Anolis sagrei: one gene and its partner. The protein of the gene in region 1 interacts with the protein of each later gene in a biochemical or structural test. Links are inferred from orthologs where the notes say so. Each region holds a gene or a part of one and is shown on either strand. Other genes may lie near its edges. The genes, in order: TNKS2 and LNPEP.

The links.
Region 2: the proteins of TNKS2 (region 1) and LNPEP form a complex in vitro, tested with the Homo sapiens proteins (4 studies listed by BioGRID and IntAct, with this or other methods). The link is inferred for Anolis sagrei from reciprocal best matches to the Homo sapiens genes TNKS2 and LNPEP.

Annotation. Positions count from the first base shown.
Region 1 is NC_090023.1:185,262,222-185,278,582, forward strand, and holds the start of TNKS2 (poly [ADP-ribose] polymerase tankyrase-2), read left to right. Parts: upstream 1-9,244; 5' UTR 9,245-9,446; coding exon 9,447-9,681; intron 9,682-16,361. UniProt on the Homo sapiens protein: Poly-ADP-ribosyltransferase involved in various processes such as Wnt signaling pathway, telomere length and vesicle trafficking.
Region 2 is NC_090022.1:252,782,996-252,798,710, forward strand, and holds the start of LNPEP (leucyl-cystinyl aminopeptidase), read right to left. Parts: upstream 6,557-15,715; 5' UTR 6,422-6,556; coding exon 6,400-6,421; intron 1-6,399. UniProt on the Homo sapiens protein: Release of an N-terminal amino acid, cleaves before cysteine, leucine as well as other amino acids. Degrades peptide hormones such as oxytocin, vasopressin and angiotensin III, and plays a role in maintaining homeostasis during pregnancy.

The DNA of each region.
Region 1 (16,361 bases):
AATAAAAACAAAACAATACACCAAAATACAATAAAACTGGGGCCGGACCAAATGTAATGGGTACAGATTAAAAGTGCTGATGTGATAGGTGGTGTAACGAAGCGTTAATCCCACCGCTTATCAACCAAAAATTATGTAAAGAAGCAGCGCTAATCTCACTAGATGCCACCAAAAATTATGTGAGGAAGCATTAATCTTCTTTAATGCCACCAATATTCTGTGAGGAACCTTCTTTTAAATATCCATTAAGCTGCCACCAATATGTTTAGAGACGCTGGTTTATGTCTCTGTTTATCTTTAGTTGGGTTGTGAGGTGATTTTGGTAGTGTGGAATGCACCAAGCATAACAGCAATGGAGGAGGCAGGTTTGAAATAAAAAGAGAACAAGTTTTATTGTTAACAGAACGTAATTGTTGCAGTTTTGAGAGTTTGAACTTGGCACAAGGCTTGATGTTACAAAATGGCTGGTTTGAGATACTTTCAGGCTTCTGAATGTTACAAATCTACAAACTCCTTCTTTAGTGAAGTGCTTATACTATTTCAGAGTCCCTTATTGTGAATGTCCACACTGTTTGCCCTATACTCGGAACAAACCACTGATCACCAGTCTTTCCTTACTGGCGATCCTTAAAACCCCCTCTGTTAGATTCTTTAACCTAAGCAATCTAACAAGGTAACACCTTCAGCTCTCTTGCTGAAGAAATATTCACAAATTCTAAGAACTGCTGAATTCTCACAGCTTCACAACAGAGCCCTAACTGGCTCTCCTCTTCCCCGGGTCTCTTCCACCGGACTGGAGCTTAACTGCCACTTTCAAACCTTTTCCTCCTTAAGCTCCGCCCACCTCCTCTGAGGCTTTGTCTTGTCACCATGGCAACCTATCCCTCACAGCTAGGCCATGGCAATAAATGTAATACATAAATACAGATTCAACACAGTACATTAAACACTCTATAATAAACATTATAAATACAGTTTAAACACATTATAAATAACACTTTATAATGAACACATCTCTACAGGTGGTATGTCGGATTTTAGGGGTAAGTGCAGCAGATGTTGACCATAGAGCTAGTAGGAACTAGAGATTCCTACAGAGATCACCATTTAAGGAATCTCCAGTGTGGTTCTACGGTCAACTTTGACTCATGATCGAGGATCTAGACCAGTGTTTCTCAACCTGGGGGTCGGGACCCCTGAGGGGATCATGAGGGGGTGTCAAAAGGGTCACCAAAGAACATCAGAAAACACAGTATTTTCTGTTGGCCATGTGGATTCTGCGTAGGAAGTTTGACCCAATTGTATTGTTAGTCGAGTTCAGAATGCTCTTTGATTGTAGGTGAACTATAAATCCCTGCAACTACAACTCTCAAATGTCAAGGTCTATTTTTCCCAGACTCCACCAGTGTTCACGTTTGGGCATATTGAGTATTTGTGCCAAGTTTGGTCCAGATCCATCATTGCGTGAATCCACAGTGCTCCTCTGGATATAGGTGAACTGCAACTCCCAATCTCAAGGTCAATGCCCTTCCAGCGTTTTCTGTTGGTCGTGGGAGCTCTGTGTGTCAAGTTTGGTTCAAATTCATTGCTGGTGGAGTTCAGAATGCTCTTTGATTATAAGTGAACTATAAATCCCAGCAACTACAGCTCCCAAATTACAAACTCAATCCTCGCCCAACCCCACTATCATCCACATTTGGGTGTATATGGTATTTGTGCTCAATTTGGTCCAGTGAATGAAAGTACATCCTGCATATTGGATATTTACAACTTATAACAGTAGTAAAATGACAGATATCAAGTAGCAATGAAAACAGTATTATTGTTTGGGGTCACCATAACATGAGTAACTGTATTAAGGGGTCACGGCATTAGGAAGGTTGAGAATCACTGATCTAGACATTTCTAAACCTGTTATCCCAAGTTTTTCATTTTTGTGGGTGCCCTGTGCAAATTTGAAGGGCCAGCTATATAATGTGGAGCCCCCGGTGGTGCAGTGGGTTAAAGCACTGAGCTGCTGAGCTTGTTGATCGAAAGGTCGCAGGTTCGATTCCGGGGAGCGGCGTGAGCTTCCGCTGTCAGCCCTAGCTTCTGCCAACCTAGCAGTTCGAAAACATGCAAATGTGAGTAGATCAATAGGTACCGCTCCGGCGGGAAGGTAACGGTGCTCCATGCAGTCATGCCGGCCATATGACCTTGGAGGTGTCTACGGACAACGCTGGCTCTTTGGCTTAGAAATGGAGATGAGCACCACACCCCAGAGTCAGACATGACTGGACTTAATGTCAGGGGACTACCTTTACCTTTTTAGCTATATAATGATGTTTATATATAATAATGTGCATCATGAAGCATTGAATATTTCAGCATGTGACAACCCTCAATGTAAGGAAACTCAGCGGTAATGAATTATCCCACAAGGGCTTTTTGCCATCCACAGTTTGAGCTCCCCAAACCCACTATTCAATAATTTGAAACAGTCCAGAATTCTTTCCTTACATTTTTGCTTCTATTGTTGAGATATTGCTTTGTCTCTAGTGATGCATACAAAGTACTTTGGTTTGACAAAAAGTCAGTTCTTTACGACAACACGATATTTAATCTGTCACTCTTCTTTTGTTGTTCTCAGAGTGGCTTGCAGCATAAGGATAAAACCAATACAATATAATCATGGCAATACAAACAAGACTACACATTCTTTTGTAAGCTGTTCTGCAACCAGTCCTAGGAACAACACCAATATTGAGACTAAAAAGAGTTACAAATCAAAACGAGCAGTAGAAGAAATAAAAATATTGCGTACTGGAAACTCATTACAGCTGAATTGTCTTCAGTTTCCAATAAACAAACAAACAAAAAAGATCGAGCAAGAGAGTCTTGACTTTAATGGCTCTCTTTGAATAATAAGCTTGCAGACAAATGTTGAACTGCTCTTCTTTTTTGTTTTTTTGAGATTTGTACTTTTTCTCCCCATGTTATTTCTGACTCTGTTTACTGATTTTTTTTTAAAGTAATGATCAGGGACACATCTACTTTGTTAACTGAGGTATATCTGTATTGATGTAATCGTGGTAAAACTCAGGTGTGAAGGACTCCCCATCCGTTCCCAGACAGGGCTGTGTGGAAGGGTCCTCAGATAACCCAGTTCAAAGCAGATATTGTGGGATTTTCTACCTTGTTATTCTAGGATATAGAGCTGTGTAGAAGGGCCCTGAGTTCACGCTACCATATATTTCAGTTCAAAGCAGATAATGTGGGATTTTATTCAGCTGTGTGGAAGGTGCCAGAGGGCCCTTCCACACAGCCCTTTGTTGCATGATATCAAGGCAGAAAATCCCACATTATCTGAATGTGGACTCAGGACCCATCCAGACAGGGCCTTTATTGTAGGAACTCTCGCAATAAAGGAGGAGCTGTCCAGACAAAGATCTGGACAGACCCGTATTAATTCGCTACAAACCAGGAAAACCCTGGTTTGTAGCAAAATAAATTGTTAGTGGATTTATTCCGCGCCTTCTTGGAAAGTGTGGGATGTTGTTGTTCATTCGTTCCGTCGTCTCCGACTCTTCGTGACCTCATGGACCAGCCCACGCCAGAGCTCCCTGTTGGCCGTCACCACCCCCAGCTCCTTCAAGGTCAGTCCAGTCACTTCAAGGATGCCATCCATCCATCTTGCCCTTGGTCGGCCCCTCTTCCTTTTTCCTTCCACTTTTCCCAGCATAATTGTCTTCTCTAGGCTTTCCTGTCTCCTCATGATGTGGCCAAAGTACTTCAACTTTGTCTCTAGTATCCTTCCCTCCAGTGACCAGTCGGGCTTTATTTCCTGGAGGATGGACTGGTTGGATCTTCTCGCAGTCCGAGGCACTCTCAGAACTTTCCTCCAACACCACAGCTCAAAAGCATCGATCTTTCTTCGCTCAGCCTTCTCTAAGGTCCAGCTCTCACATCCGTAGGTTACTACAGGGAATACCATGGCTTTGACTAGGCGGATCTTTGTTGCCAGTCTAATGTCTCTACTCTTTACTATTTTATCGAGATTGGACATTGCTCTCCTCCCAAGAAGTAAGAGTCTTCTGATTTCCTGGCCACAGTCTGCATCTGCAGTAATCTTTGCGTGTGGAATAAAGCCACTATTTCTGGGTCTGGACTGCAGAATATTTATTTATTTCTTTAGAACTTTTATATCCCGTTCTTCTCTACCTCTGTGGAGGGACTCAGAATGGCTAACAGCAAAATTCAATGCTATACAATAAATGTCATAAAACTAAATAAGTTCTAAAATACATATAAAAGACAATTCATCAAGTTAAAAACATCATCCAATTCAATCCAAACATTGTGGTCAAATAACTCTTAGTCTATACTGGATCATCTATCTATCTGCGAATACCTGATTCCAAAGCCAGGATTTTAGCTGCTTCCTGAAAGACAGGAGGGAGGGGGCAGAACTAACTTCATTGGGGAGGAAGTTCCATAGCCGGGGGCCAGCACAGAGAAGTCCCTGTCTCTCGTCCCCACCAAACACGATTGTGAAGGTGGTGGGACCGAGAGCAGGGCCTCTCCGGAAGATCTTAAAGTCCTTGATGGTTTATAGGAAAAGATACGTTTGGACAGGTAAACGAGGCCAGAACCATGTAGAGTTTTGTAGGTTAAAACCAGCACTTTGAATTGTGCTCGGAAACTGATTGGCAGCCAGTGGAACTGGTGTAACAAAGGAGTTGTGCACTCCCTGGACCTCACTCCTGTGAGCAGCCTGACTGCCAAGCGTTGGACTAATTGCCAAGCGTTGGACTACCGGGCTGTCTTCAGAGGCAACCCCATGTAGAGTGTGTTGCAGTAGTCCCACTGTTTAGCAGGCTAAATAAGCCCAGTAAACTGTGACTTCTAGCTCCTTTGGGTTTGTTTTATATCATTTCAGAGGTTTAATGAGATAACACATGCTCAGTATAATTCATTTATAGACGCAGTCAGTCTACTCCCCCAAGGTGATGTAACCTCAGAGTTAGATCTTAACTCCGACAGCTTTCCATCAGATTAAATTAACCAGCTGATTGCATCATTGTTCTCTATGGGGCACATGATTTGAATTAATTATCAGTCAGTTCTTGTTTATATTATGATATCTTGTTTCTAATTGTATTGGTGTTCTTTCCTGGAATTCAGCTGTCTCCAGGCCCTGTTCTATACTATATGGTACAATCAAATGTTGTGGAACACCCATTTCTTTAAGAGGGGTTCATCGTTTTTCATGAACTATACATGTGCTTACTTCCATATCTTCCATATTCAACTGTATAGGATATAACTGCTATGCATGCATATTAGCCCAGAAAAATGAAAGTTTGGTGAGACTAGTGGCATACAATCAGGCTGCATGAATCTGTCTTCATGGCAATGTATTACATAATAGTGGTGCTGTTTGCTAAACACTCTGGAAACTGTCAGAACTCTATAAGAAAAAAAAATAAGTGGTCATAATGATCATTTAGTATTGTGCTTAGCCATCTCATCAGTGTGAATGGACTTATCATTATGTTTTTATCTAAATTGTTGCCCAGTGGGAATCATGGATTTGACAAAAGAAACTCCATGACTAGGGTTGATTGCCTGAGACCTCTGAATGATGTGTGGGTGTTTGGACAAATTAGCAACCTAGAAATTGCAGAAAAGGAAGAATTTCTAGCTGTAGGTGGAACACCACCTGGGGAGTCTATCATAGGTTACTCTTGGCAGGGCACTGCTGCTGGATTTGTAATGCACTAGTTGTATAATTACAAATTACATTCTCCATTGCTTGACCATCCAAAAGGAAACTAAAATGTTCACCTTTTCTTCTCGCTTTGTAGTGTGAAAAACAAAACATGGTCATTTAGAGAAAGTGGGAGGGACAGCAACTCTGCTTGACTTATGAATAAGAAATTATAGCATTGGAAGAGATGCCAAATGTCAGAATAATCCTTACCGAGTAAGGACACAAAGAAAAAACCATCCTGACCAATGGCCACCCACATTCTTTAAAAAAATTCCAATGAAAAAGTACCCAATTCCATCTTGGACATTGTATTCTGCTGCTGCCCAGCTCTTGCCATCACGATATTCTTCCTTAACCTTAGGCTGAACCTCTTTTCTTGCAGCCTGAATCAACTGGTTCATGTCCTGGGTCACAGCTACACTGACAATTTAGGTCAGTGCGAAACTGGTAAAGAAGAAAGGTATTTCACTGTGCAGATGATTACATGTGAAGTCCTGGGACCAGTTAAAGGCCTGGATGGCATTTATATATACTGCAGAGGCTGACCTCCAATTGGTTCAAGGAACCAAGCATCTGCAACTTGGGTTGCTGTGAGTTTTCCAGGCTGTATGGCCATGTTCCAGAAGCATTCTCTCCTGACGTTTTGCCCACATCTATCGCAAGCATCCTCAGAGGTTATGAGGTCTGTTGGAAACCAGACAAGTGGAATGTCTGGGGTGGCAGAAAGAACTCTTGTCTGCTTGAGGCAAGTATGAATGTTGCAATTGGCCACCTTGTTTAGTATTAAATAGCCTTTCAGCTTCTAAGCCTGCCTGCTTCCTGCCTTTGTTGGGAGGTGTTAGCTGGCTCTGATTGTTTCCTATCTGGAATTATCTATACAGATCTGCTGCTTCTTGGCCATGGGGCTGGGGGCTGGGTTTTATTCCCACATACACTCGCTGCAAGGCATATATGTGGATCACCACAGACTCCATTCGTTAATCGGTTTCACCATGTGATGTGTTTTACTTTCAGGCACACTGATGTGTATTGTGTGTTCTATTGCAAACCACCCCAACTTTGCTTATCCCAGTTTAAAGCCCAAAATGCGCCTTGCTGCAAGTGCTGACGTCGTGCATCATCTAAACACCATGATGTCAAGTTACCTTCTGACTGCATTAAGTGGTGATAAGGATGTGTCAATTGTCTCTGTAATAGGAAAAATAACAAGCTTGCTCCATCTTCTACATGATATCTCTTCAGGTATTTTAAAATGTCATTTCTCAGTCTTCTTATACAATCCCTATGTGATTTAAATTGACATTTTCAAAAATGGAGGATTAACCATTATACATTTCTTTGAACTTGAAACCTTCTCTGCACCAGTTAATCATAATTCAAGAACTGTGGCCCTATCTCATACGTCCAGTGGTGGATGATGAAAGTTGCAACTCAATCATATGTGGAGAGATACACATGCCCCCACCGGAAGCTAAATCAATCTGGCAATGAAATGCTCTCCAATCTTCTACTCCATCCTAAGGTAGTTACTATATAGAGGTATACTGGCGTCCGCAACAAGCCAGCTAACACAACCAACCCAAGACTGGACATTTTGCTTCGCTCAGTTAAACACATTTTGTTTTTTCTAAACTCTACCATTTACAGATATTTGGTATGTTCACAATATGACTTGGTATGTTCACAATATTTTGTTTGAATGTTGTCTATATGCCAAGGTGAGATCCCAATGTTTATAATCACTCTTGGTTAGAACAACCAACTGGGATCCAATTACTAAGCTGTCCTATTTTCTTTCTGGGGAGAACCTACACTTAGGGCCCTTCCACACAGCCCTATATCCCAGAATATCAAGGCAGAAAATCCTACATCATCTGAGTATGGACTCTTATAATCTAGTTCAAATCCGATATTGTGGTATTTTCTGATTTGCTATTCTGGGATTGTGAAAGAGCCCTTAGGCCCATTCTACACTGCCATATAATTCAGATTATTAAATCAGATAATCCACATTATTTGCTTTGAACTGGATTATAAGAGTCTACACTGCCATATCAATTTCATAATCCAGTTCAAAGAATATAATCTGGATTTATATGGGAGTGTAGAAAGGGGCCTTTATCGCACAAAGAGCCCTTCCATACAGCCCTATATCCCAGAATATCAAGGCAGAAAATCCCACAATATCTGCTTTGAACTGGGTTATCAGAGATCACACTCAGATAATGTGGGATTTTCTGCCTTGATATTCTGGGATATAGGGCTGTGTGGAAGGGCCCAAAATGGGGTGCCTTCTCTTGGTGATCAACGTATCTAAATTCTGATTCTTTTACACTTGTCTCTCTACTCTCCCTGCTTTCATGTTTTAATTTAATCCCATTTTACCAAATGTATTGTTTAATCAAGTTTTATTGCATTTTTATTTATTTTAGTTAACTATCACAGAAGTTTTAGGATAGTTATTAGTGTCTATTTGTCTGTGTATTTTTTTGTCTCTTATTGTCAGTGGAGTAATCAATACACAGATCTATAGATCATGTCAATCAAATTGGAATATCTTTTCTATTGTCAATATGGTCAGTGGACGGATCAATAAAGAGATCTCTCATATCGTGTCAATTAAATTGGAATATCTTGTCTTCTATTGTTGATATGGTCAGTGGACTCAGCAATAAAGAGATCTACCATATCGTTTCAACTGACCACCCCGATTAGCATTTGATAGCCTGGCAGTGCCTGGAGCAATCCCCTGCTGAGAGGTGATTAGATGTCCCTGATTGACGTCAGGAGAGAATGCTTCTAGAACATGGCCATATAGCCGGAAAAAACCTACAACAACCCAGACCATAACATATCCATTAAATTGGAATATCTTGTCTTCTATTGTCAACAGGGTTAGTGGGTTGATCAATACACATCTGTCATGCCAATTACATTGGACTATCTCTATGAATGGCACGACCTGAGAGGAGATATGACAGCCATGTATAAATATGTCAGAGGAAGCCACAGGGAGGAGGGAGCAAGCTCATTTTCTGCTTCCCTGGAGACTAGGAGGCGAAACAATGGCTTCAAACTACAAGAAAGGAGATGCCATCTGAACATGAGGAAGAACTTCTTGACTGTGAGAGCCGTTCAGCAGTGGAACTCTCTGCCCCGGAGTGTGGTGGAGGCTCCTTCTTTGGAAGCTTTTAAACAGAGGCTGGATGGCCATCTGTCAGGGGTGATTTGAATGCAATATTCCTGCTTCTTGGCAGGGGGTTGGACTGGACGGCCCATGAGGTCTCTTGCAACTCTTTGATTCTATGACCTCCTTCCTCAAATACCTGACCCACTCTGGAAAGGAGTCTCTTGCGCATGCGCTGTGCTCGCTTTAACTGTGTTTTCCCCGCACTTCTCCCTTCTCTCGCTTCACCTTCCCCCATGCGCGCGCACCCTGGATGCTCCGCTTCCCCTCCCACCGGGGAGAGCACGCGCATGCGCCGTGCTCTCCCTAACCCTGTTCCCTGCGAGTCCTCTCTCCCTCCTCCCCCCTCTTCCCTGTGCGCGCGCACCCTGGCTGTTCCGCTTCCCCTCCCACCGGGGCCGCTGAGGCGGAGGCTTCTTTTCTTCGCGCCCCCCTCAGAGGCCGCTTCTTTCTATGGCGGGCCTCCGGGTGTGAGTGGGAGCCTCGGGAGGAGGAGGCGGAAAAGGCATGGCTGGGCGGAGGGGCGCGGGCGGGGCGGAGTCGCTGCTCCCCTCCTCGGCGTCCTGCTTCGGCGGCGTCTCTTCTTCCTCCTCCTCCTCCCTCCTCTCGGAGCCTGCCCGCGAGCTCTTCGAGGCCTGCCGCAACGGCGACGTGGAGCGCGTGAAGCGGCTCGTGAGGCCCGAGAACGTCAACGGCAGGGACACGGCCGGCAGGAAGTCCAGCCCCCTCCACTTCGCTGCAGGTAAGCTACCTCTTCGAGGGAAGGCCGCACCGGAAGGAGGGAGGGAAAGATGGAAGGAGGGGGACCTTCTCTTTAGAGGCCTCAGGAAATTGGGCTTCAGGTGAATCCTGGACAGGTATGAGCAAACTCTGGCCCTCCAGGTGTTTTGGACTTCAACTCCCACAATTCCTAACAGCCTCAGGCCCTTTCCTTTTCGGCTGAGGGGGGAAAGGAAAGGGCCTGAGGCTGTTAGGAATTGTGGGAGTTGAAGTCCAAAACACCTGGAGGGCCAGAGTTCACCCAATATTAAATATTTATTACACCGCAATATTAATATTTATTAATTTATTTTAAGATATTTCTACCCCGCTTTTCTCCACGGCATGACCCACAGCGGTTGACAGCATAGAAAACACACAATATCAACAATAAAGCATAAAGTAACAATAATTTCAAACTTTCTTTATTTCCTGTCCCATCTGGGGCTCTGGGCGACTTACAGCAAAAACAAACAAACACACAGTAAATTTATTTATTGTGTCATCAGCAACCATACCATTGTATTACATTTCTAACAGAACGAAACAAACAAACAGATGTTTTAAAAAAAACACAGATTTTGCAAACTTTGTAGTTGATTAAATGTCCTTTGACCAGTATCTGGCCACTTGGAGTGCCTCTGATGTTGCTGCAAGGAGGTCCTCCATGGTGCATGTGGCAGGGCTCAGGGTGCATTGTAGCAGGTGGTCAGTGGTTTGTTCTTCTCCACACTCGCATGTCGTGGATTCCACTTTGTAGCCCCATTTCTTAAGATTGGCTCTGCATCTCGTGGTGCCAGAGCGCAGTCTGTTCAGTGCCTTCCAAGTCACCCAGTCTTCTGTGTGCCCAGGGGGGAGTCTCTCATCTGGTATCACCCATGGATTGAGGTGCTGGGTTTGGGCCTGCCACTTTTGGACTCTCGCTTGCTGAGGTGTTCCAGCAAGTGTCTCTGTAGATCTAAGAAAACTATGTCTTGATTTAAGTCGTTGACGTGCTGGCTGATACCCAAACAAGGGGTGAGCTGGAGATGTCGCTGCCTTGGTCCTTTCACTATTGGCTGCTACTTCCCGGCAGATGTCAGGTGGTGCAATACCAGCTAAGCAGTGTAATTTCTCCATTGGTGTGGGGCGCAGACACCCTGTGATAATGCGACATGTCTCATTAAGAGCCACATCTACTGTTCCACACTGGGCAAGCGTACTCAGCAGCAGAGTAGCATAGCGCAAGGGCAGATGTCTTCACTGTGTCTGGTTGTGATACCCAAGTTGTGCCAATCAGCTTTCGTATAATGTTGTTTCTAGCGCCCACTTTTTGCTTGATGTTCAGGCAGTGCTTCTTGTAGGTCAGAGCACGGTCCAAAGTGACTCCCAGGTATTTGGGTGTTCTGCAATGCTCCAGTGGGATTCCTTCCCAGGTAATCCCCAGAGCTCGGGATGCTTGTCTGTTCTTAAGGTGAAAGGCACATGTCTGTGTTTTAGATGGATTAGGGTAAATTATATAACACAAACAAAATCACATATCAAGTTTACCCATGCTTGCTTCACACCGCAATATTAATATTTATTAATTTATTTTAAGATATTTCTGCCCCGTCTTTCTCCACGGCATGACCCACAGCGGTTGACAGCATATAAAACACACAATATCAACAATAAAACATAAAGTAACAATAATATCAAACTTTCTTTATATCCTGTCCCATCTCCCCGAAGGGGCTCTGGGCAACTTACAGCAAAAACAAACAAACACAGTAAATGATATAACACATATCATATATCAACAATAAAACATAAAGTAACAATAATATCAAACTTTCTTTATATCCTGTCCCATAATAATAATAATAATAATAATAATAATAATCTTTATTTATACTCCGCCACCATCTCCCCAAGGGACTCGGAATGGCTTACATGAGGCCAAGCCCAACAGTACATCAATAACAAGAGCAATAAAACAATAAATACCATACAATTAATATATCACATATAAACAATAACCAATAAATAGTAACACACAAGGATTTAAAAACCTATGGCCGGGCCAAATGTAATGGTTTTAAAAATTAAAAAATAAACGCTGGGAACGAACAAGGTAGGATATAACTCGTATAGGGTTTTCAAAGAGAGATGAGGGAACACAGTCAATCCCAAACCAGTAGTAAAGTGCATTCTGAGGGCATATTGCTGAGAATTTTTCTTATTCTGGGAAGGCACACTGGAAAAGCCATGTTTTCAGACTCCTCCTAAAGACTGCCAGAGTTGGGGCATGCCTGATGTGCTTGGGAAGTGAGTTCCAGAGTCGGGGGGGGGGGGGCACTACCCAGAAGGCCCTCTCTCTCGTCCCCACCAATCGCGCCTGTCCCATCTCCCCGAAGGTGCTCTGGGCGACTTACAGCAAAAACAAACAAACACAGTAAATGATATAACACAGACAAAAATCACGTATCAATATTGTGCAATAATGTCCCCAAGCTAGTATGTATATTTATTTATTTACTACATTTATATACTGCCCCTCTCAGCCCACAGGCAACTCAGGGTGGTTTACAGTCAGTATCAAAGACATAAGATACAATTTAAAACGGTTCGTTTAAGTTTAAAACCAAGTAAAACAATATCAATAAAAACATATCAAGTTGAGTCTCTTACTTAAAAGCGTTATCTAATAGCATTGTCGAGTCGTTCCGTTTTTTTTCTCTCCATGTCTGTTATATTGTGTCTGCAAACGCTTGCTCAAACAGCCAAGTCTTCAACTTCTTTCGAAATGTTAAAAGGGAAGGGAGGGCATTCCATAGCCAAGGGGCCACCACTGAGAAGGCCCTGTCTCTCATCCCTGCCAGACATACTTGTGACAATCTTAAAGCCCTAGCGGGTTCATAAGGGGAGATGCGTTCGGACAGGTAAGTTGGGCCAGTACTGTTTAGGGCTTTATAGGCTAAAGCCAGCACTTTGAATTGTGCCTGATAGCACACTGGCAGCCAGTGGAGCTGGCTCAGCAGGGAAGTTGTGTGTTCCCTGTGGACTGCTCCTGTTAGCAATCTGGCTGCCGTCCGTTGGACCATTTGAAACTTCCGGACAGTCTTCGAAGGCAACCCCATGTAGTGTGTGTTGCTGTAGTCTATACGGAATGTAACCAGAGGGTGGACTACCATGGCCAAGTCAGACTTCCCAAGGTACGGGCGCAGCTGGCGCACAAGTATATAGATCAACATCATTTTAAACCAGCCAATTCCTATGATCAGGGTATCCAGCATTATATATTATACATAGCCATTTAAAGTCCTGTCCGATAAAGAGGTTGATACTTTTAGCCCTTATCAAAAGCCTGCTTAAATAGCCATGTTTTCAACTCCATCCTGAATGTTAAGAGGTTGGGTGCTTGTCTAATTTCCCTGGGGAGGGCATTTCAGAGTCGCGGAGGGGGGTGATTACCTCTTCCTCATCCCTACCAACCTTGCTTGTGAGGAAGGTGGAATCGAGAGGAGGACCTCCCCAGTTGATCTTAGAGCCTGAACTGCTTTATAAGGAGTAATGCAATCACGTAAATAGGCAGGGTCTGAACCATATAGCCAAGATCTAAAAACTTGGCTCTTCCGATGTGCCTTTGGAGACTGACCATTCAACCCATTTTATTTGTTTCCATCTACAGTTCTCATGATGCACTTCCCCCCTTTATAAAGGTCAAGCCCCACTACTCCCCCTTCTTGGGCTCCTCCTGCACAAATACACTTTTTCTATTCCTATCTCACCCAGGGTTTAAACATTTTATCACGTGCATTTGGCCCGCTCTTTATATTTGATTTGTATTATATTATTTTGCACTGTTTATTCTATTTTGTTACTTTATGTATTTTGTTGCAATGTAATTTTTCTGTTGTTTTGTGTCTAACTTTGCTGTATTGTTTTTGGGATTGACCTCATGTTAGCATCCCCGAGTCCACTTTGGGGAGATGGTGGCGGAGTATAAATAAAGTTGTGGTTGTTGTTGTTGTTGTCATATAGGGCTCAATCTGCACTTTGAATTGGGCCCGGAAGCAGATTGGCAACCAACATAGCTACTTTAAGAGAGGGGTAATATGTTTCCTGCAATCTTTGCACTAATTGAAGCTTCTTGACCATCTTCAAATGCAAAAGTTAAAACATACTAAAAAACACACATACAACTTCCACCTCCCCCATATCAGCCCCTCAATTAATAGTCATACATTTTTAAACTCAACCCATTCCAATGGCACGTGTCTTATTCAAAGGCCTTGAAAAGCAAGGTCTTTACCCCCTTCCTGAAGCTTAGGAGGGATGGGGCTGATCTTAGTTCCTCCAAGAGGGAGTTCCACAGTACTGGAGCTGCCCCAGAGAATAAGCCTTCTATCATTTTCTGTAAACACATTTTTGAATGGGGCCGAGTAGCAATTAGGGTCTTCTTGCTGGACCTCAACTCTTGACCAGGAGCATAAAGGAACACACGATGTTCCTGGTAGGCTGGACCAAAGCCATATAAGACTTTATAGGTGAGAACCAGCACCTTGAATTGGGCCTGGAAACGGATGGGCAGCCAGTGAAGCTGTCTCAGGAGCAGGGTAGTGTACTTCCTGATACCAGCTCCCCATTACCAGCCTGACTGCAGGTCTTTGTATGAACTGTAGTTTCCAAACACTTTTCAAAGGCAGACCTATGTAAAGCGCGTTGCAATAGTCCAGTCTGGGTGTAACCATTACGCATACTACTGTGGCTAGGTCATCTTCCTCCAGGAATGGGCACATTTGGTACACAAGCTTTAATTATGCAAAGGCCAACCTAGACACCACTGCCACCTGGGCCTCTAGGTTTAAGGCGGAGTCCAGGAGGACCCTCAAACTGCGCACCTGAGATTTCAGGTGAAGTGTAACCCCATCCAGCTCAGGTTGTAATCCAGTTCCTGGATCCATCTTCCTTGAGACCAGCAGTGCCTTGGTCTTGTCTGGATTGAATTTCAGCTTGTTCACCCTCATCCAGTCCATCACTGTCCTCAGATAACAGTTCAGGGGAAGGTCTGCTTCCATGGAATCAGGTGGAAAGGAGTAGTAGAGTTGGGCATCATCTGCATGCAGCTTGACCCCACTTGAACAGTCTTGGGTCAATGCTAAGGAATCCTGTGAGCTATTATTATTATTATGTTTATTTATATCCTTTTTCTCTCCATACGGAGACGCAAAGCAGCTCACAACTAAAAGCATTGCAATGCAACTTTAACATATACAAGTATTAAAACACTTTTGAACATCATTAAAAGCATATAAAATTACAGCAGTCCGTGACATGATCTTTAAAACCTTATTTAATAGCCTGCCTAAATTAAAAGGCTTTAACCTGCCTCCAGAAGGACATCACTATTTCTGAGGATGCTTGCCATAGATGCAGCCAAAACGTCAGGAGAAAATGCCTCTAGAACATGGCCATAAAGCCCGGAAAAACCTACAACAACCCAGTATTTGTATAAATTTTTGCCCATGGAAGATATACATGTAATTACTTGTTTCTTCTGTCGAGTATAAAATTAATGAAGAATTGCATCCCTAGCATGTAACAGCAACAAATGCTATCTAATATAGAATTTAAAGTGTGTAAACTCCTCTGAATTTGGTCAGAACAGTTTCTAAGAACTAGTTATGCTGTGCAGCAAATCACTATTAGATCACTGTAGATACTGTCTGTTAAAGGTATACAGCATATTGTCAATTCACATATTTTAAATCAAGTTCTGCTAGGTTAAGTAACTTGATTTAAGAGAGAGATAGTTGGTGAGAGAGTTGGAAATAATTTGAAAGAGAGGTGGTTTATTTTTATTTATTTACAGCATTTATATCCCACCCTTCTCACCCTGAAGGGGACTCAAGGCAGCTCACAACAAAGGCATTATTCAACACCTTGAATACATATAAAAATTAAATAACATATACTTTAAAATCACATAATTAAAACTTATCAACTTAAAACAAAAACTGTTACCACACAAAAACTGTTAACCTGCACTTTGAATTGGGCCCAGAAGCAGATTGGCAACCAATGGAGCTGCTTTAAGAGGAGGTAGTATATTTTCCTGCAATCCATCCCAGTCAGCAGTATGGCTGCGGATCTTTGCACTTACTGAAGCTTCCCGACCATCTTCAAATGCAAAAGTTAAAACATGCAAAAGTCATGGAATTGCATAGCTTTTAAAAATTCTGTTTTTATGTTATTTTATCAAGTTGCAGTACTTAAAATATGCTTGCTGAATCTTCCATGACTTACTATCTGCTCTAATATGGCCAATCCAAGCTTTGTTGACGGAATCCGAAGATTCCTCACTCCAGCATATTCCAAACTGAACCTTGACTCATGAAAGTTCCAGCATTGTAGATTATTTCCTTCTTTTAAATAGTGAGGATGGTTTTTATGGCATGAGATAGGACAGGCTTGAAGTTAACATTTGTTTATATTCTTGAGTGGTAGACTGCCACCATCCATATGTTGTTATAAACTTTTATATAAAATATAATAAATGCAGAGTTTGGAAAATTTGCCCTGCTGGCAGGGGGTTCTGGGAGTTGTCCAAACAAACATTTTAGCATCTGAATAATTCCTAACTTGGATGCATGATAATCTAAACGTTGCTTTTGTGTGTGGCAAAGAATAGGTATGTTG
Region 2 (15,715 bases), on another chromosome or scaffold:
GAGACTGGGCTAGAATTGGGGGGAGGGAGCTTATACTAAATCAGAATAATCTTACATCAGCTGGCAATTATGTTTCCTATCTATTAAAAGGTAAAGGTTTCCCTTGACATTAAGTCTAGTCGTGTCTGACTCTGGGGGATGGTGCTCATCTCCATTTCTAAGCTGAAGAGCCGACGTTGTCCATTGACGTCTCCGAGGTCACGCGGCCGGTGTGACTGCATGGAGCACCATTACCTTCCCACCGAGGCAGTACCTATCGGTCTACTCACATTTGCATGTTTTTGAACTTGGCAGAAGCTGGGACTAACAACAGGAGCTCACCCGCTTCCTAGATTTTGAACCGCTGACTTTTTGGTCAGTACGTTCAGCAACTCAGCAGTTTAACCCACTGCACCACTGGGGGCTCCTTCCTATCTATTAGTTTAATGACACCCCCTTGGCTTCCAGCTCTAAAAAGGTTAAAATTTGGGTTAGATAAATGACAGCTAGAAATGAAGGTATTCTTCACGCAATATAGTCCACCCCTCCACATTTGTAAGTTTAACTTTTGTGGATGTAATCATTCATAGATTTGGTTATATTTCTAGATTTTCTATTCATGCTGAAAAATCAGGACATTCCTAGAGAGGTATTCTCTCAAGTAAAAAAAATAGCAGGGTTTTAACCTTTGAGTACATTTCTCTAGGAATTTCTGGATCTAGAAATTTAATCAAATTTAAATCCAACTGCAGAATGAATGCAGTTTGACACCACTTGTCATGTCTCAATGTTGTGGACTCATGGGAGAGAGAGTTTGGTGAGGAATCAACACTCTTTGGCAGTGGAGGCTAAAGTCCTTGTCAAACTACAACTCCCATGATGCCATAGCACGGAGCTATAGTAGCTACGGTGGTGTCAATGTGCATGAATTCTACAGTGTAAAATGCACACAAGTCTCAGCACAAGATCAATGTATGATTCATATACACTTTACACCAGGCATGGGCAAACTTTGACTATCCAGGTGTTTTAGACTTCAACTCCCACCATTTCTATCAGCATAGGAATTGTGGGAGTTGAAGTCCAAAACACTTGAAGGGCTAAAGTTCACCCATGCCAACTTTGGCCCTCCAGGTGTTTTGGACTTCAACTCCCACAATTCCTAACAGCCTACCAGCTGTTAGGAATTGTGGGAGTTGAAGTCCAAAACACCTGGAGAGCCAAGGTTTGCCCATGCCTGCTTTACACAAATAGCCTGGAAGTTTATACACAGTATTTTAAAATATTTTGTGCATGCAACCACATAGGTGCACAAACCTGGCTTCATGCACAAATACAGATATTGTATTCTAAAAATAGAAAATAAAATCCTAGGAAATCTGACCCCAAGCATTCAGATATGAGTTATCCAACCTGTACTATTATGAACAGTAAACAAAATTACAGAAACAAACAAACTGAAGGTGCTGGAAGAGTTTGTGTCACTTTGGGGTCAGAGGCATGGCTGCTGTGTTGACAGGACATACAGCCCTCCTTGTTCCATTCTCAGGGGGCTCCTGGGCTCTTCCCTTGGCCCTCTCCAACTCTCCTGAAAGACCTGGCCTTCAAGATACAACCTTCCCTTCCGAAAAAGCACCCTCTGGGGCCTTTCCCCTCCCCTCCAACCCAAGCAGAAGCAGAAGCCTTAGCAGCATCTCAGGCGAAACAGAAAGAGGCCGGCTTCCGCCACACGCCAAACTTTCCCTCCATCGTGCCTTGTGCAAAACCACGGAGGGTGGGTTTTACCCCAAGAAGGAGGGAAGGGCAATTGGGGGGGGGGGGGTGAGAGAAAGAGGGAGGAAGTATAAGAAAAGGGGGGGGGGAGAATGAGATATAAGAGAGGAGAATGAGAGATAGAGGGGGGAAAGAGAGTACGAGAGAAAGAAAAAGGGGGAGAAAGGGAGTGTGAGATATATGAGAGAGGAGGGAGAAAGACAGGGAGTATGAGAGCAGGGGGGAAGAGATGAGAGGAGGAGTGATGGGGAGAGTGTAGGAGAAAAAGAGAGAGAAAGAAAGGGTGTATGAGATATATGAGAGAGGAGGGAGAAAGACGGAGAATGAGATAAGAGGAAGAGAGAAAGAGAAGGAGTTGGAGAGACAGAGGGGGAATGAGAAAGGGGGAGGAAGAAAGAGAGGGAGTATTTATTTATTTATTTATTTATTATTTATTTATTTATTTATTTGGTATGCTTGTATACCGCTAATATCTCAGCCTGTGCGGCGACTCATTGCGGTTTACAACATGTTAAAATATACAATTCATTTAAGCATATAAAATTAAAATAAAAATACATACAAAAAACATACACAGTATTGGGCCACCAATACAGATCGGGACATCTCATAGTTAAAATCATCATCCAATTCGTTATCTTGATTGCTAATCCATGGTCAGATAAAACATCACATCGAAGGTCAATTGAAGACTTGCTCAAACATCCAGGTTTTTAGTTTTTTCCTAAATGCCATTAGCGAGGTGGCTGATCTTAATTCAGTAGGGAGGGCATTCCAAAGCCGGGGGGCCACCACAGAAAAGGCCCTATCTCTCGTTCCCACGAGCCGCACCTGTGAAGCAGGTGGGATAGAGAGAAGGGCTTCTCCTGAAGATCTAAGGGTCCTGGTGGGCTGATAGGCCGAGATACGTTCGGATAGGTATGTAGGGCCAGAACCGTTTAGGGCTTTAAAGGTCAAAACCAGCACTTTGAATTGGGCTCGGTAGCTAATCGGTAGCCAGTGAAGCTGGTACAGCAGAGGAGTTGTGTGCTCCCTGCGTCCAGCCCCTGTTAATACCATGGCTGCCGCCCGTTGGACTAGTTGGAGCTTCCGGGCCGTCTTCAAAGGCAACCCCACGTAGAGAGCGTTGCAGTAATCAAGACGGGATGTAACCAGAGCGTGGACTACCGTGGCCAAGTCAGACTTCCCAAGGTACGGTCGCAGTTGGCGCACGAGTTTTAACTGTGCGAATGCTCCCCTGGTCACCGCCGAAACCTGGGGCTCCAGGCTCAGCGATGAGTCCAGGATCACACCCAAACTGCGAACCTGTGTCTTCAGGGGGAGTGCGACCCCGTCTAACACAGGCTGTAACCCTATACCCTGTTCGGCCTTGCGACTGACCAGGAGCACCTCTGTCTTGTCTGGATTCAATTTCAATTTGTTCGCCCCCATCCAGACCGTCACAGCGGCCAAGCACCGGTTCAGGACTTCGACAGCCTCCTTAGTAGCAGGTGGGAAGGAGTGACAGAGTTGGACATCATCTGCGTACAGATGACACCGCACTCCGAAACTCCGGATGATCTCACCCAGCGGCTTCATGTAGATGTTAAACAACATGGGGGACAGTATTGAACCCTGAGGAACCCCACAAGACAAAGGTTGTGGGGTAGAGCAGGAGTCCCCCAGTGACACCTTCTGAGACCGACCCTCGAGGAATGACCGGAGCCACTGCAAAACAGTACCTCCGAGACCCATTCCCGCGAGGCGTCCCAGAAGGATACCGTGGTCGACGGTATCGAAGGCCGCTGAGAGGTCGAGTAGCACCAACAGGGACACACTCCCCCTGTCGAGCTCCCGACGGAGATCATCCACTAAGGCGACCAAGGCTGTCTCGGTACCATGTCCCGGCCTAAAGCCAGACTGTGCCGGATCTAGATAATCCGTGTCTACCAAGAATGCCTGGAGTTGTGAGGCCACCACACGTTCCATGACTTTGCCCAAAAAGGGAAGATTGGAAACAGGCCGATAGTTTACCAATTGAGTGGGGTCCAGTGATGGCTTCTTCAACAGCGGTTTTATCACAGCTTGCTTTAAGCTGGCTGGAAAAATGCCTTCCCGAAGGGAGGCATTAACCACCACCTTAACCCACTCGGCCAATCCCCCTCTGGCCTCCTTTAGAAGCCAGGATGGGCAGGGGTCTAGGATGCATGTGGTGGCTCTCATCCCTCCAAGCACCTTGTCCACATCCTCGGTTTGAACCAATTGAAATGAATCCATCAAAATCGGACAAGCAGATGCTCGTGTTACATCCTCAGAGACTGCCGTTAATGCGGCGTCCAGTCCAGAGCGGATCAAAGCGACTTTGTCTGCAAAGAACCGAGCAAAAGCTTCACAGCGAGCAGCCGAGTCATCAGGGCACCCATCCTGAATGGTGGGTTTTAAAAGGCCTCTGACAACTCGGAACAGTTCAGCCGGACGGTTCTTTGCAGACGCAATAGTGGCCGCGAAGAAAGTTTTCTTAGCGGCTCTTATTGCCGCGGCATATGACCTTAAAAAGGCCACAAACCGTGTTCGGTTTGACTCGCTCGGATCCGAACGCCACACGCTCTCTAGTTCCCTCTTCTTTCGCTTCAACACCGCCAGCTCCTCAGTAAACCAAGGGGCCGGTTTAGATCGGCTACTTGAGAGGGGACGTTCTGGAGCGATCGTGTCTATTGCCCTGGTCATCTCCCCATTCCAGAGAGCGACCAGGGCATCAACAGGATCACCAACCGCGGTGGCGGGAAAATCCCCAAGAGCCATCAGGAATCCTTCCGGATCCATAAGCCTCCTGGGGCGGACCAATTTAATAGGTCCTCCACCTCTGCGGAGGTTAAGGGGCGCAGTAAGTCTAAAGCTGACCAGGAAGTGGTCGGTCCATGGCAACGGAGAGATGGATAACTCCTCAACACCGCCTCCTTCCTCCCATCCCTGACAGAAAACCAAGTCCAATGTATGTCCAGCACTGTGGGTGGGGCCAGATACTTGTTGGGACAGACCCATGGTCGCCATGGTAGACATGAAGTCCTGAGCCGCTCCCGTTAGGGCAGCCTCAGCATGGACATTGAAGTCCCCCAGCACAAGCAGCCGCTGGGACTCCAATGCCAGGTCCGAGACTACCCCCGCTAGCTCAGGTAGGGAGTATGAGATATATGAGAGAGGAGGAAGAAAGAAGAAAACGAGAAGTAGAGAGGGAAAGAGAAGGGGGAGGAAGAAAGCATGAGATATATGAGAGAAGAGGGAGAATGAGAGTAGGAGGAAGAGAGAAAGATGTAAGAGAAGGGGGAAAGAGAAAGGAGAGAGATAAAGGGGAAAGAGTGAAAGGGAGAGGAAAAAAGGGAGTATGAGATATATGAGAGAGGAGGGAGAATGAGAGGTCTCATACTCTCTCTCTTTCTTCCCCCTTACTATCTTATTCAGTGTGTGTCCCCCCCCCTCTCCTTCTCTTTCCTTCCTCCATCTCTCATGCTCATCCTTCCTCCTTCTCTCATGCTTCTTCTTTCTTCCCTCTTTCCCTCTCATTCTGTCTTTCCCCCTCTATTTCTCCTTCTCCTCTATCCCTCTTCTTATATCTCTCATTCTCCCATACTCCCTCTCTTTCTTACCCCTTACTCTCTTATTCAGTGTTCCTCCTCTCCTTCTCCTCTCTGTATCCCTCTTCTTATATCTCCCTTTCTCTCTTCCTTCTCTCATACTCCCTCTCTCTTTTCCCTCCTCTCGCATATCTCATACTCCCTCTCTTTCTTCCTCCTCTCTTATCTCTCATTATCTTCCTTCCTCCATCTCTCATATATATATGAGAGGAAGTAGAAAGATAGAAAGAGGAGTTTGGGAAATAGAGGGGGGAAAAGAAAGAATGAGAGAGAAGGGAGGAGGAAGAAAGAGAGGGAGTATGAGATATATGAGAGGAGGGAAAGAGAGGGGGAGTATGAGAGGAGAAAGAGAGAGTGAGAGATATAAGAAGAGGGATACAGAGAAGGAGAGGGGAACACTGAATAAGAGAGTAAGAAAGAGAGGGAGTATGAGAGAATGAGAGATATAAGAAGAGGGATAGAGAGAGGAGAAGGAGAGATAGAGGGGGAAAGGCAGAATGAGAGAGAAAGGGGGAAGAAAGAAGGAGCATGAGAGAAGAAGGAAGAGAATGAGAGATGGAGGAAGGAAAAGAAAGATAAGAGAGGAGGGAGAAAGAGAATGAAGGACAATGAGATAAGAGGGGGAGAGAAAGTGACAAGAGGGGGAAGGAAGGGAGAGGAGGAAGGCAGAAAGGGGGAGAAAGAGATTGAGAGGGGGAAGAGAGACAGTGAGAGAAAAAGAGGCAGTAGAGAGAGACTGAAAACGAGGCGAGAGGGCGAACGAAGAAGGGAAGGAGAGATGGGAGAAAGGGAGAGAGAGGCCCCCTCCCCTCCTGACCTTCGGGCTGCCCAGAGCCATGCGCGGCCTTGAGGCTGCCTCAAGTTTCGCAGCCTGGGCAAGGCGAGGGCCTCTCCTGAAGGCGGCCTGTGCTGCTAAAGATAACACCAACCACAGTAAGGCCTGGCAGGCGCAACGAGCCTGGTTGCGAGGGGGGAACAACCCGCCCGGCGACTGGGAGGGCGCGCTAGGCCCGAGGCGGGAGGCCGCCCTACTCACCGCCGCTGGGGAAGCGCTCCATGTTGCTGCGGAGGGCCGCGGAAGCCCGAACGGGGAGGAAGAGGCTCACGAAAACACACGCAGGGACCGGGAGGGAGGGGAGCAAGCCGGCTCCTCCTCACTCGCCTTTCCCCTCCTCCTGCTGCATGTCTCCGCCCGCAGCGAGGCACTAATTCTACGACGTAGAGCAGGCCCAGGCAAACTTAGGCCCTCCCTCCAGGTGTTTTGGACTTCAACTCCCACAATTCCTAACAGCCTCAGGGCCATGACATTTTCTTAAAACTCAAAAGGTGTCCTCAAAACCCCAGCAATGTGCAACTTGTTGGATTTCATCCCTGGACTACACAAGCCTTTGTGTCATCAAGTTTCCAGTCCTCAATGAGTAGCTAGACTAGAGACAGGGCTAAGCGCAGGGATTCCTTTTCCCACATTCCTACGCATGTTTCCTAAAGGGTTTTGTCTTTATCTCTACTGCTAGCCAGTCTCCGCCCCCTTTTGATGACATACTAATGGAATTCTGTGAGGGAACTTCCTTTCAAGTTTAAATTGCCCCAGGAAGGCCATGTGGTGTCCACTATGTTACTGCTGCTTTTCTTTCTCCCTGTGAGGACGCATTTTGCCTCTTTGTAGGCAAAATGTAGCTACATGGACTTTTTTTAACCTTCTTTGTTGTTGTTTATTCATTCCGTCACTTCCGACTCTTCGTGACCTCATGGACCAGCCCACACCAGAGCTCCCTGTCGGCCATCACCACCCCCAGCTCCTTCAAGGTCAATCCAGTCACTTCAAGGATACCATCCATCCATCTTGCCCTTGGTCGACCCCTCTTCCTTTTTCCTTCTATTTTCCCCAGCATCATTCTCTTCACCAAGCTTTCCTGTCTTCTCATTATATGGCCAAAGTATTTCATCGTTGCCTCTAATATCCTTCCCCCCAATGAGCAGTCAGGCTTTATTTCCTGAAGTATGGACTGGTTGGATCTTCTCGCAGTCCAAGGCACTCTCAGGACTTTCCTCCAACACCACAGTTCAAAAGCATCTATCTTCCTTTGCTCAGCCTTCCCTATGGTCCAGCTCTCACATCCATAGGTGACTATGGAGAATACCATTGCTTTAACTATGCGGATCTTCATTGCCAGTGTGATGTCTTTACTCTTCACAATTTTATCAAGATTGGTCATTGCTCTCCTCCCAAAAAGTAAACGTCTTCCGACTTCCTAGCTGCAGTCTGTATCTGCATTAATTTTTGCACCTAGAAATACAAAGTCTGTTATGCCGCCATGTTTTCTCCCTCTTTACCTTCTTTAGAAGATGAGATTTATTTATTTATTTATTTATATTATTTATTTATTTACTTTATTTGTATACCGCTCTTCTCAGCCCTTAGGCGACTCAGAGCGGTTTACAACAGTTTAGATATACAGGATACAAAATCATTATGCATTTAAAAAAACAAAAGCATCACAAGTCATTAACATCATTAACATCAGCATCAAAACACCAATACATCAATTTAGCGAGATAGTTAGCTCCAAAACTTTTCTATCAACAATGTATTTTTTACTTTAATAAATCTTTTGAACCTCAAGATTGCCTCTGCAACCCTCAGCCATCCTAAAGATTAAAAGGCTGTTCCTGCTCACCACACATAAGTTTTGCTAGTTATGGAGTTCACTCTTGTTATTCTGCTATATTTTGGTTGAATTACCCTAACTGAGGGTTATTTTTGAGCCTAACAGCTCAGGTTCCCCAACAGTAACTCTTAGAGCATGTCTAAACAGACCAAAAGAAAGCCTTGTAGGCGCTGAAATCCAGGTGCATGACATTCTTGATATTTTGCTTGAAATGAGACTCTTTGGGCTTTAATCCAGTTAAAAAATTACATTTCCTTTTACTATACAGTTTTCTAGGAAAATCGGGATATATCTATATATATATATATATATATAGATATATATCTCCAGATATATCCAATATATATAAATATTGGCATGTTGCCAATTTTTTAAAATATTATTATTTATATCCCATTTAAACTTTAAATAACTCTTTAAAGTTCTTCAGTTGAATTTTTATGTAAGTCGAAATAGGTACAAAATTTGGCTTGTTGTGCAAACAAGAATTGGTGAGAAAGCTTCAGACACCTTTCCCCCATGTCTCTCTTTAAAGATCTTCAGTTGAACTTGTAAGTAAGTCAGAATAGGTACAAAATTTGGCTTGTTGTGGAAACAAGGATTGCTGAGAAAGCCTCAGCGGAGACACCTTTTCCCCATCATAACTCTTTCAAGAGCGAATTTCCCTTCTGAGGGGAAGATTTCTCTCACTTCCTGTTGTCTCACCTCCATTCTTAACTATGAGTCATTTGTAAGTCGGGGTTTGTAACTCGGGGAAGAGGGATAGAGAGAGGATAGCCTGTATTCAAGTCGTCGTTGTGTGCTATCAAGTCATTTCCAACTTATAGTGACCCTAAGGTGAACCTGTCACAGGGTTTTCTTGGCGACATTTGCTCAGAGAGGATTTGCCTTTGCCTTCCTCTGAGGCTGAGAGAGTGTGATTTGCCCAGAGATACATAGTAAGTTTCCATGTCCAAGCAGGGATTTGACCATGTTCTCCAGAATCAAAGTCCAATCAATGCTCAAACTATGACACCACACCAGTTTCCTATTTGCAAATATATTTACCAGTTACCTATCTATTCAAGTCAGCCTGTTGCAAACTATGAGAACCCATGCAGCTCTTCCTTGTGATCCAGTATTTGAAATACATAAGCACGATTTTATATAAACATATATTACTGCATTTTTGTTGCTTTGTTGCATTCATAAGCAAGAAATAAGCTGTAATAAAAGAATTTGTAATTAGCAAATAAAACCACTCATTTCCCCTTTTTGCCATCCTTTGAGGTATCCACGTTCTATTTTTTGAAACCTCCTAAACTGCACAAAGTTATTTGCATCTTATTTGTATTCCGAAAACAAATAAAAGTACGTAAATCTGCAAAAACTTTCTGACTTATTAAACAGGCCAGCTCTTTAGAAATGAAAGTCTTTTGTTTGTTGGAAGACTTTGATTTCTAAATGAAAGGAAAAACACTAAATTTCAGGTATTTTATCCCATGATATTTCCAGTCTCTTGTTTCTCTAAATGAAAACATAATACTATTATGAGGAAATTACATTCAATTCTAGAAATATTTTTTAATTAGATTTAGAAAAGGAATGTTAAACTTTAGAAATTTTGATTGAAGTACAAAACCAAAGTCGTAGACTTGCTTTTAGGAAGAGCAGCTTGCTGACTCATGCTTATTTCTCTTTAAGCTCAAGTTTCACACATAATTTCTGGTCGCTTCTGGGTGCTTTTCTTCTCAAGAACAGACAAGCACCTTGAGCTCTGAGGATTACCTGGGAAGGAATCCCACCGGAGCATTGCAGCACACCCAAATACCTGGGAGTTATCCTGGACCATTCTCTGACCTACAAGAAGCACTGTCTGAATATCAAGCAAAAAGTGGGCGCTAGAAACAATATCTTACGAAAGTTGACTGGCACAACCTGGGGATACCAGATACAGTGAAGACATCTACCCTTCAGCTTTGCTACTCTGTTGCTGAGTATACATGCCCAGTGTGGAACACATCTCACCATGCTAAAACAGTGGATGTGGCTCTTAATGAGACATCATGCATTATCATGGGGTGTCTGCACCCTAAATCACTGGAGAAATTTCAGTTTAGCCAGTATTGCACCACCTGACATCCACTGGGAAGTAGCAACCAATAGTGAAATGACCAAGGCAATGACATCTCCAGCCCATCCCTTGTTCGGATATCAGCCAGCACACCAACTACTTGAATCAAGAAAAAGTTTTCTAAGATCTACAAAGACACTTGCTGGAATATCTCAGCAAGCAAGAGTACAAAAGTGGCAGGCTAAAACCCAGAACCTCAATCAATGGCTGATACCAAATGAGAGACTCCCTCCTGGGCACACAGAAAACTAAGCGACTTGGAAGGTGCTGAACAGACTGCATTCTGGCACCACGAGATGCAGAGCCAATATTAAGAAATGGGGCTACAAAGTGGAGTCCACGATATGCGAGTGTGGAGAAGAGCAAACCACAGGCCACTTGTCACATGCACAATGGAGGACCTTCTTATAGCAACACCAGAGGCATTCCAAGTGGCCAGCTAATGGTAAAAGGACATTTAATAGAATGCCAAGTTTTCAAACTTTGGGGAGTTTTTTTCTAAAAAAAAAAAATACAACTGTTTGGTTCGCTCCTGATACAATAGACAGACAGATAGGAAGTATTCTGTATTGACATGTGTAATACACTGCTCTGCAGGCTGGATTTTCTTCCACTGGCATGTAATTTCTGGTCACAGTTGTGGTCCATGAACCTAATTAGGGTATACAGGCAGTCCTCAAGTTACAAACAAGATAGGTTCTGTAGGTTTGTTCTTAAGCTGAATTTGTATGTAAGTCAGAACAGGTACTTTTTAAAGTGTGATTCCAGCCAAAAATATATATGTTTTAGTTTTGGATAGCATAAGGAAGGGCTAACACCCCGTGGTGTGTTTTGCTGTCTGTGCCCCTGTTCAGATTTCTCCTCACTTTGTGTCCCTGTGATAATTGGATTTTGAAACATTTGGCTTTTTTGTGGAAATAAGGATTGGTGACCAAGCTTCAGTGGATATACCTTTTAACTCTTTCAGGAGTGAATTTCCCTTCCGAGCAGTAGATTTCTCACACTTCCTGTTGTCCCACCTTCATTCTTAACAATGAGTCATTTGTACGCCGTATGTTTGTAGCTCAGGGACTATCTGTACTGTTAAAATTTCGCAGCATTTTGGCTAATAGTCCACAACAGTCCATCTACACATGTATTTTAAGCCTGAAAATGGACAATGCATTTAGATGGCACTTGATAGAACCAGAGGCATTTCATCTTATCTACAGACCACATATCATTAGTCTTAAGTGAATGACATTGGCTTCCAGTTAGTTCCAAGCTGAGTTCTGGTTCTAATACGGAAAGCTATCAATGGCCTGGGGTCAAGAAACTATCTCCTCCCAAAAGAACCTATCCAAAATCTGAGATTTTTGACAGGAGCCCTGTTGATGGCAGGACAGGACTTCCTCTGTAGCAGCATCTTGGGTTCACAGCTCCTACTCAAAGGAAGTCATGCTGGGTGCTCAGTTCCCTTTTGAGTTTCGAGAAGGTAGCTGAAACTTATTACTCTGCATTTCCTTCAAATCATAAGAGACTGTTGGACTGCTTTAACAGTCTGTGGTTTAAAAACTATTTTAAGAAGTTGTTTTATTTGGAATGTTTTTATGTGTTTCTTTAAAGTTAAAAATGTTTTCCCTACATCTGTCACATGTTGCCTCAGGGGCTCTGGAAGACTGACAGGTATTTCACACAATTAATTTAAAATACATGATCTAAGTAGGATCTTTCAAACTGGCAGCCTCCAGATGTGTTGGATCCACTGCACTTTCATTATCCACTGCACTCTCATTATTACACTAAAACAGATTGTCTACTCCAAACCATTTGGGTGATTGAAAGTAAAGTGGGTGCCATTGTAGTTTCGTTAGTCAGTTAATAATATTAATCCTTACTTCCCTTATCCACAAGTAAGAAATTGGTGGGTGAGGCCACACTGCAGCTGTTTTTTTTTTCTCTCCAGTCAAAATTAAGTCATATCATTAGCAGCACTGCTTTTCTATTTTTCTTTTTAAAAACCAGCAACAACTGCAACCACCCCCATAATAACAATTTTATTTATACTCCACCTTTTCTACACAAATGGGTGCAAGTCATCTGAGGAAAAAGGAAAAACACAGAAAAGAGAGCAAGGAGAGATGAAAAGAAGAGAAAGATTGGTGCACTTTGTAAATAATTACACATGAATCTCATTAAAGTAGCTTATCAGTTAAAGATAGGCCTTGTGTGTGAGTTGAGGATTAATAATCTAATCATCACTTCCACAAGAGACGAGAATGAGTGGCTTTGGAAAGATCATGAAAGACTTTGAAAGATGTTTCAACATCAAAAGAAAAAATATTACCATAATACATAATAACATATGTGCCTATGTGAACTTGCAGAATTTTAATATAATTAGCTTCAGTGTTTCTGATCTGATTTCTAGTTCCATCTTGTTGGAAATAGCGTTGCCAGATCCTGGGGAATTGACCTTCTCAGTGGTGGCATCATAGATATATAATACTCTCCTGACAAGACAGGTGGCTGTCATACCCTTCTTCATAGATGGGAATAACAGCTCTAAGTCATGTCTTGATCCACACTGGACATTGCAGAAATCACGGGCAAGATAATATATTTTTCCCTTTCTGTTGCTTTGGTTTTATTGCAATTTTATGGAGGCATTAAAGATTTGGCAACATATTAGATAAATGTGTACTTAATGGTAAGTTGTTTGTTAACAGCATGCCATCTTTTAGCCAAGTTTGAAGGGGCCTACTGGGTTTTTAAAATAACTGTTATTTCTTTTTATTAAGACATTGTCTGTTTCAGTAAACTACTCTTATTTTATTAAATCTAGAAATGTGAACAATCAGTAAAAAAAAAAAAAAGAAAGAAAGTATGGCGTTTAGAACCCATTCTATACCCCTGCTGCTATTTTTAATTGTAGTTTTCAATACTTTCAAGTCACCAGTCATGGATACAGATACATTCTATGAATGGTAACGGTAAAAAAAGAGACATAGTCACAACTCTGTGTGATAAGAGAAGTTAAAAAGCAAACACTGCCAAGGACAAAAAGGAAAAGAAAAAAAAGAAATTGGGTTCACTAAGGCAACAGTGAATGCAATAGATAAGCCATTTCACAGTTTCCCTTGTTTGCTCTACAAAACAAACAAGCAGAGATATAATATTTTAGGTAGGATTCAAACCTTTTACTGCAGGAACAGAAAAATGTCCACATCTACACGGGGGCGGCAATTATGGGGTAAATACTACCTTCTTTGCTGTCCCATCATGAGTTGGGCTTTACTGAGTTCTTAACCTTGATGAAGTGGGTCTGAGAACAGCTTTTGCGAAAGAAAAGCTACATATGAACAAGTAGAATAGCATGCATGGAACCTTGGATTCCAGCCATAATGAAGTCACACTAGCTGTTATTGAGAAGAAAATCAAATTATGTGACAATAATTAGGTCTTACAGAAACAGAAGCTCCTAAAAATCATCAAATGAGAAAGATGTTGGAAAATCAGACATTCTCTTCCCAATCCTCGTACTGATGTTAGAGGAATTAGGGAGTTCAGATAATATAGATCCCAGTGCAAGATTATACACATTCTGAATTCCTTGGCTAAGATTTTGCCATTTGTTCTTCTACCTCTTACAATGCATTATTATAAATACTTTGTGGATCTGTATCAAATTCCTCTTTGCCCTTTTTCCCCTCCTCAACTGGAGAAGATGGTGAGTTGAAAGCTCACTGAAGCACTGCCTTTGACCTAATCTTTTCATTAGTTAGGATGTAAGGATGTCAGGTGCATGTGTACAATCTAAAAGCAATTACTAAGTCTTTTAATTTGAAATATGATACCGCCTGCTTTTTTCCCCTCACAAGTCTCAGCCAGGAAATTCTTTTTCATGCTGTGGATGGTTGAATCTCAGGAGTCAACGTTCTATATTGTCAGATTCTGCATCCAGGGATTCAAACATCCAGCTTGGAAAAAATTTAAAACAAAAAAACCTTGATCTTGCCATTTATATCAGAGAACTTGAGCCCCATGGATTTTGGTATCCTAGTCCTAGAACCCATTCCCAGTGGGTTCATTTTACTATGCCATTATATATAGTAGAAACTGAGCACCTATGGATTTTGGTATGCAAACAGGGTCTTGTGACCAAACCCCAGTGGATACTAAATACCCAAGATTGAGGCCTGTAATTCTGCTAAACTCTGATGAGGGATATTGTTTCCTAATAGAGCCATATTTTTGGCTAACACACCTCATCACACTAGAAAATGAATCTATTTTAAATCCAGTTGCTTCCTCCTGCAGAATTCTGGGGTTTGTAGTTTAGGGAGGAGCCTTTAACAGCCTCATTAAACTACAAACCCCAGATTTCTGCAGGAGGCAGAAACCAGATTTAAAGTGGATTCATTCTGTAGTGTGATGAAGGATAAACTCTTTTCCTCACTTAAGACTATTGCAGAAATATCTCAGCACCTTAACTTCAGTTCAGTGCATCTTCTGCTATCTTTCATAATTAATGCACAAAAGCTTGTGATACAGGCCTTCCTTTGAATGAAAGGGACATGGATTGGAAACCAATCATACAGGGGACATTGGTGCAATTGGTCCTTCATGTTGTTTGTGCTATGACTCATTCATAGTGAGTTGTTATGTGAGACTAAGAGTTTTTCTTCAAGCATACATATGTGTCCTTGGCTGTGAATCCCCATAAGACTTATCTGCTAGTTCCTTTCTCACAGCCATCAACTATTCTAGGAGGACAGCCCCTTTCCTGTTTTCAGTTTTGAAAGATGATTGTTGATAGTTCGAATCAAACGTAATGGCTCCTTGAGGAGATCCAGAAGCCCTGGCTGAGATCCCAGGAAAGTCAACCACCCACCAGGAGGAGAATTATCATTTGGGATCTGTAGCACTGGAGTGAATTTTGGAGGGCTCATTTTGACAGAACCCATAGTCACAATCACAAGGGATGTTCAGAAGTGCAGACAGCTGTGCTGATCTTTGTCAACAAATACATTTTGGCAATTTTCTATTTCCACCAGAAATTGATAATTTTGTAAAGCGAATTGCTCAAGCCATCTGCAAGTAATTTCCCTGACAAGAAGATTGTTCATATAGGTATAGTCTTCAGCTACTGTGAGGCTTTCAGCTAATTTTAGGCAAAAATATGAAGTTGAAAGGGGATACATGATGTCTTTGACTCTACTAATTGAAACATCCTAGCAGTTGTAAGATCATACGAGCCATGGCTTTATTATACTACAACTTCATGTTCTTGCTTTGCTATTATGAAAAAGTGAAGATTGGCTGCTTCCAGCTTCCTTGGGGAGAGAAACAGCGGGGTGCACATTATTATTATTATTATTATTATTATTATTATTATTATTATTAACCAGCTGAAAGCATCTGACCACCTGCTGTTTCAATTGTTATCTAGGATGTAGTTCCATTCTACCAGGACACTTGAAGAGGCCTATCCATCTGATTTGGCTCTATTTCTATTGCATGTAATGTTTTGTGGCCATGGCTGGATGCATTAAGTAATCATTTGAGAGACAGCTTTATATGTTGTAGTA